Linked DNA regions of Nothobranchius furzeri. The protein of the gene in region 2 interacts with the protein of the main gene of each other region in a pairwise test. Links are inferred from orthologs where the notes say so. Each region holds a gene or a part of one and is shown on either strand. Other genes may lie near its edges.

Region 1 (3,655 bases), on a different chromosome or scaffold from region 2:
TCTTCTGCTGGAGGCGTTCTAACGGGTCAGAGTTAGCTGGATTTGAGGCTAACGCTAATCACGTCCTCCGTTTCCACTGAGAGGTCTGAAATCTTGTTTTCCAAATCAGCTGTGGTCTGGAGATTGGTCTGCCATGAACTTAGTGCTTGGTGTTGGTTCTGGCTGCAGCAGCCTCAGTTCTCAGTAACACAGAGGCTCCAGACACAGCTGCTGGGTTAGACTCAACACTCAGATCTGATACGGTCACATTCACATATCAACCAAGTCTGAAACGTTACCAAAAACAGGACATGATCCCAGTTCACCTTTTTAATAAATAAAGTGACTTAGTGGAACAGCTTCTGTTGCTGTTGAGCAGCAGCAAACTAAACCCTGTTTGCTTTGTTAGGGGTAGGGTGACTGTTTGTTGTCATTGTTTTTTTAAACATTTTTACTATATTATGGAGTGAAAAATAACTTATTAGTTTCCAAAGGAGGCGCTGAAAACACGAGACCTTATTTTCTGGTTCAAAAAGATCAAATAAATCTAAATAATGATTTAAAGCACACCTGAACTTTCTCTTTCCCCTCCTAGACAACTGTGATTTGCACTTCAAAGTGTCCCGAGACCGGTACAGTGGCTATCCGCTGACCATTGAGGGCTTTGCTTACCTGTGGGCTGGAGCCAGAGCGACTCATGGCGTCACCCAGGGTCGCGTGTGCTACGAGATGAAGGTGATTTACACTCGGTTGATGCGTATGTGGACACAGAATGAAGGACTTACCACTCCGTTTCTCTTCCTGCAGATAAACGAGGAAATTCCCGTGAAGCACCTGCCGAGCACCGAGCCGGATCCTCACGTGGTTCGAATCGGATGGTCCCTCAACCACAGCAGCACTCAGCTCGGTAAGAAGAGCGCGGGTTTCTGCACGGTCTTTAAAAGCGTTTCATTATTTTTTAAATGTTTTTCAGATTTGCATAATCATGAGTAGGGTTGTCACGGTGTGAAAACGTAACCTCAGGGTTATTGTGACCAAAATTACCACGGTTTTCGGTATTATCGCTGTATTTTTTTTAAACGTGCTACATTTTCACACAACTAAATAAACCCTGTATGTCAGGAAATATTGTCCTCAGTTTGTGTCTAAATTTAGCCTAAAATGTGTTATTTTGTAATTATGTTGTTTATTTGTTTACATATTTCCCCTTTAGTCTTTAAAATACCAATATTTGCTCATAACTTCTTATTTTATGTCTGTTTGATGTCATCATTTTAAAAATATTAGATCAGATGATACTCAGTACTCAAGTAGCCTTCTAATCAGATACTTTTTTACCCTTACTTGAGTAATAAACCCTATATCAGGAAAATATCGTCCTCGGTTTGTGTCCTTCCAGTGAGCTTTGCAGATGTGGGAAAATGTCATCAGGCAGTAATCATTGTTAAATTCATAATTATTCTCGGAGAGAGACCAACTCTTATCTGCCCCTGGGAGCCCCGTAATGCATAGCGTCATTTCAACATGGCGGTGTCCGCGACACGGTTTATATGCAGGTAGTGGCGCTGCGGCTGCTTTATATAGCGACTCGTTGCATTCTCCCTCAACCCAAATCCTCGGATCACGCATTTTAGCTAAAGCGCTAACGTTAGCTTGCCTTGCGTTGACTGTAGAGTTGTGGGTGATGGTCACGCAGATGTGTCATGAGATTTGAAGCGTTGCTGCCTTTCACAGACACTTTTTCTACACGTGCTGCAAACAGGATAGCCGTCTTCTATCAGCTGTCCCTCGGCATTCTTCAAATATCCGAAAGATGCCCGTACTTCCCACTTTGTCTTCTTTGAGGGATAATAAATGTCCTGAGCGCTGCCGTCTCCTCCTTTGGCCATTATTTCAGCTTTAGCTTCAAGAAAGTTTTGGTTGTAAACAACAAAGTGCGCATGTGCCACCGGCAACTTCAGCAGATGATACGGTGGCTGGTAAGGGTCACCGCGCCTACACCGCAGCCACGGTAATCCACCGAGATAATATAGTTTTAAAAAACAAGACGGTTATTATTATTGTCAACTTTTTACCGGGGTTTACCACTACACCGGTTACCGTGACAACCCTAATCATGAGTAAATGAAAAGAAGTGTCGGTAGATTCTTTTCTCCGTTTCCTAAATGATCGAAACCAGAATTTCTCAACAGTTTTGCTTTTATGGAACATCGTGACAAGGAAACATTTAATTTAGATTAAAATAACGTGTTTGATGCATAAACCTCATAATTAAACCTGTTTTCTTAAAAAAGAATAAAAAACTTCACACATACATAATTTTGTTTATTATGTTTATGTTATAATGTATTTTAAAGCAGAAGAATTTCCCATTTGTTTTTTTTTAGAAATGATTTATTTAACAAACGTCTGTTTTTCCTGTTTTCTAGGTGAAGAACCTTTTTCCTTTGGATACGGAGGAACGGGGAAGAAATCCGTTGACTGCAAGTTTGCCGACTTTGGTGAGAAGTTTGGTGAAAGCGACGTCATCGGCTGTTACGTTGTGAGTAAACTGAGAATACCTGTAATTACTGCATCAATACCAAAGTAAATTGCTCCTTAACATTCAGAAGATTTATTTTACTGACGTGTTTGGAGCTCTAATAATGTTTTTGTTGCTGATATTTTATCTGCAAAAAATGTATAAAAGATTCCGTTTTTCCTTTATTGCATTTGCATTTTCTCTAATATAAGGTTACCGCTGGTCTGAATCCAGTAGATATTAATTCAGTTAGTTTCCATAAGTGTGGCTCCTTATTTCCTGTGTCCTGTACCGAACATTTGTTTTAACCGGAAGTGACGGTCGTGGTGCTTCTTTTAAAACTCATTTCCTGCAGGACTTCGAAAACGGTGACGAGGTGGAGATGGGATACACCAAGAATGGCGTCCAACTGGGCGTGGCGTTCCGTACGACAAAGGAGGCTCTGGCTGGGCGAGCCCTGTTCCCTCATGTGCTCGTGAAAAATTGTGCTGTTGAGTTCAACTTTGGGCAGAAAGGGGAGCCCTACTTCCCCCCACAGGAAGGATACACCTTCATCCACAATCTGGACCTGAAGGACAAGATCCGAGGCACAAAGGGACCTGCCAGCAAATCCGAGTGTGAGGTAGGAGATCAGTGTTCTGTTACAGCTAGAGTCCGACGCACACGACAAGTTGTATCAAAGAACGGGTCATGTAGGCTCCGTGGTGCCGGTTGGGAACAGATGTCTGCCGCTTTTAAAGTTGTCTCGCGCTTTCCCACCTGCAGAAACCAGGTCGAGACTCGTTCCAGGTGTGTGTGTGTGTGTGTGTGTGTGGCTCTGAAATTTAGTTGAGTAAATTTTTGTTAACTGCACTGAAAACCTCCTGTGACACCAGAGCTGGGCAAAGATTATCGAACTGTTTTGAACTGAAACAATCCCAGGGTGTCCGCGGGGTTTTAAAAAGTATTAAAAAGTGATAAATAAAAATAGTCAAATTTAAGGCCATTAAAAGTGTTAAATTTGGTCTCAGAGGTATTATTTTTTCCAAATTAGGTATTATTTTTTTCAGACTATCAGATGTCATATTCTGAACATCGACATAGAAATATATTCCGAATGAAATGTTTTGAACGATTATAAAAACAAAACAAGCCGATTATTTGCTCCTCCCACTT
Region 2 (3,384 bases):
CTGACGGCTTTGTAACATAACCATGAAAATCGGGTTTAAAGTACATAGGGAACGGGTTTAAGTGTCTGGGGGACGCCATATTTTAAACTGGTCGGCTTGGGGTCCTGCTCTTCTCGATGACATCACACCAGACGTAGGCTGGAATTACGACTTACGCAAGTTACGTTGCCATGTTCGAAAACATTCCAGCAGTAAAAAACACTGATTTAAAAACAAAACTGCTAAACTCTTAATGAAACCTTTGTTAAAGAACAGAATCTAAAAAGACATGCAATATATTTTGTCTAAATGGTTTTGCCGTAGTATGACATCAGCAGGCAGGACTCCGAGCAGATCCAGAAAACTAGCCCCAGCATCGCGTTCCCTTAACGGAATTAACTGAAGGATCATCAAAGTCTGAGGAGAGACACAGGTCGCATGCTTTCTGCTCCACAGGTAACCAAATTTACCTTGATGGTTTTTTTTAAACTATGGCGATATGGTGGAAAACTACCCTGAAATGAATGTACCGCCCCCTAGTGCCAGGAAACTACACACTGCCACTTTCAATAACTTTACTTGACGACAATTTGGTGAAGACGCTGAGCGTGACTTTAAGATATGCCTTTAATTAAAAAAAAAAAAATCAGCAATGGGAAACGTACAACTACATCCGACTATAGGAAATACTTAAAATGAGGAGCTTCCGGATATCAAATGAGACGAACCGAGCGCGTAAGATCAGTACATGAGCACATTCCCCTTAAAACCAGTGAGAGACGTCTTCAGTGAACAGCGCGGTCAGATGCAGGGAATGCTTTAGTTGAAATGTACAAGTAGCAAAAAGAGAAGCATCAAGGTGCATCCAGCTGTTCCAGTAAAGTTCTTCTCCTTTTCTCCAGCTCTCCTTCACTCAGCTCACTGCCTGATGTATCCCAGCCGCCCTGAGCAGGAAAACCTAAATCAGTCTCTCGGGTTTGTGGGACTTTAACTACCAAAATCTTTTGGAAATCGTATTAAATGATGGGAATTCACCTCCTCTTTGGCTGCTTTTCTTTTAGGAGACTTCTGTTTGGACTCGGTGCGAGATTTAGACCGAGACTTGTCGTTCTCTTTATCCTTCTCTGAATCTCGTTCACGCTTCCCGTCACGGTCTCTTCCTTTCTTCTCGCTGTCAGACTCCGGCGATGCCTGTTGGTTGCGGTTATCAGCTAATTGCATGCTGGGTAATTTTTAACACCACATCCACAAAAGGCTTGTGTACTTACAGACTTGTGGCGCCTCTTCTTGCCCTTCTTCTTGTGCTTCTTGGATTTTTTATAGCTTCGCTCTAGTTTCAGACAGAAACGTGTCGGTGAATTCAAACGCTTCCGTAAAGCGATTCGCTAACAGAAACACTCACCAGATTCTCCACTCGATGAGCGCTCTGAAGGAGACTTTGACTGTGACCTCTTCTTCTTCTTGTGGTAATCCTCATCCTCAGACTCTGAAGCCTAATGAATAAGAAGGTTAAAGATTAGCAGGTCCAAAGAGGAGGAAAACAAAAGTAGCCGGTGAGGTCCACACCGATCGAGAGCGGGATCGTTTCCTGTGGTGCTTCTTGGACTTCTTTGAATGCTTCTTTGTCTTGGAGTGGTGATGCTGACACTCGTGCTGAAAAAGCAGACCAAACCGCTGATCGTCACCGTTATCAGGCCTGATAAATCAGTTCCAAATGTCATCGTGGTGACCTTACCTCCAGAACATGCATGAAATCTTTGAAAATCCTCTTCCTCTCCGACTCCAGCGTCACATCCTCAAAGGCGGACTCTTTCAGGAATCTTTCTCTGACCTGAAAGGGTCAGATGCCGCTCGTCACTAAACACGAGGCCCAATCACGAGTGAATGTGATGGAGAGTGATCTAACTGAAACCACGTACTTCCTCCCACGATGCATCCGGCTCCAGAGGCGGCGTGGCCTGCTTCAGCATGGTCTTGAAAGCAGCTTCTTTTCTTTTCATCTTGCGGGCTTCCTCTTTCTCTCGCTCCCTCTCTCTGGCTTCAGCCTTCTCCAGAAGCTGTTCACAAAAAGAAAAAGATCTTAAAAATACAAAATCGTTCTAGAGGCAAAACTGCACAAAACCAAAGAACTGAATTTCCTCTTCCCCATGTGATCCACTGGCTGCTTAAGAGGGCGGAGCTAAACGGTGATCTCATGTGGGCTCAATCTGACGTCATCTCAGCCTCTGGAGCAGAGGTGTCGAACTCAAACTCAAACTGGGCCGAAATGAAAAGAAAAAAAAAAAAACTGGGACGAAGTTGCGGGCCAAACTTAAGTGAGGGTCAAGGCATGGGTGGAGACGCATTTCATCCACACTTCCTGTTAGGAAAACGCTTCTGAAAGAGGCGTCTCCTGGTGGACCGAGAGAGCGGCACTGAGGCAGCGGTAGACCGCACCCCCCTCAACGCCCCCGTGTGCACTGTTGGAGTTTCTCTATCTAAAATGGAGTTGTTAACGAGCGCGTGCGTGTGCACACAAGCACACACTCACACAAGACTTACCGCTCAGGAGGAAAGCAAACACAGATTCTGCAGCATCCTGAAGGGTTTCCTGTTACGGGGCAATCGTGATCATTAGATGAAAAGGGGGAGGAGGGCATTTTTTTCCAGTAGGCGAGCGGCTGCCAGCGCTAATGTGTCAAACCGGCAGGTGAGTGGCCGAGTCGGGTGGAGGTGCGGCTGCCTCACCTGGAGACCAGAGCGGTGCAGCCACGTAGTTATTTGCGGATAACGTGACGTTTTTCAGCTACAGCTGGTTCTACATAAATGTGGAGCAGTTTTTAACCTGAAGATGGAGATATAATTATGGTTTTGGGCTGAAATATTACATTTAGAGTAAGTTGCGCTAAACTGCCACACTAATGATTACACGTGTGTACAGCACCATTAGACACTCATCTCTACAGGTTATCAGCAAAAACAAGTTAGTTTACGATGCGTTACTTGCTCTTTAATATTTAGACATACAAATGTGCACATTTTCTTTTATCTACAGATGCTGTTGAACCTTTTCATTTGGAAACTAACTTATTTTTGCAGTAACACTGAATGTGGAGTAACCAAACTGCACACGAGCAAGTCAATTTTCAACAAAACGTGTCAGTGGTATTCATTACTTATTATGCCTCCAGTTTTTATTATTAATCTTTTGAATTGGTTTGTATTTCTTTTTTACGTTTTCTTGTTTATATTTAATTCTCCTTTTTTGCTGATGTAATTTTATTGCTAATTTGACACCAAACTTTCCCCACTGAGGGACAATAAAGGGATTTTCTGGTCTATTTCTATTCTATTCATCTTTCCAGTTCCCGTTTTAAAAGTGGTCCAAACTTTTTCCCACAGGCCAACAACTAAACAAAAAAATAA

Evidence for each region. The genes of interacting proteins can lie anywhere in the genome.
Region 1: the proteins of prpf40a (region 2) and hnrnpul1 interact in a two-hybrid assay, tested with the Homo sapiens proteins (2 studies listed by BioGRID and IntAct). The link is inferred for Nothobranchius furzeri from reciprocal best matches to the Homo sapiens genes PRPF40A and HNRNPUL1.

Annotation. Positions count from the first base shown.
Region 1 is NC_091753.1:58,652,135-58,655,789, forward strand, and holds part of hnrnpul1 (heterogeneous nuclear ribonucleoprotein U-like protein 1), read left to right. Parts: intron 1-574; coding exon 575-714; intron 715-786; coding exon 787-886; intron 887-2,408; coding exon 2,409-2,521; intron 2,522-2,855; coding exon 2,856-3,122; intron 3,123-3,655.
Region 2 is NC_091754.1:18,325,634-18,329,017, forward strand, and holds the end of prpf40a (pre-mRNA-processing factor 40 homolog A), read right to left. Parts: intron 2,037-3,384; coding exon 1,899-2,036; intron 1,811-1,898; coding exon 1,715-1,810; intron 1,633-1,714; coding exon 1,546-1,632; intron 1,473-1,545; coding exon 1,382-1,472; intron 1,310-1,381; coding exon 1,248-1,309; intron 1,171-1,247; coding exon 1,015-1,170; intron 924-1,014; coding exon 834-923; 3' UTR 589-833; downstream 1-588.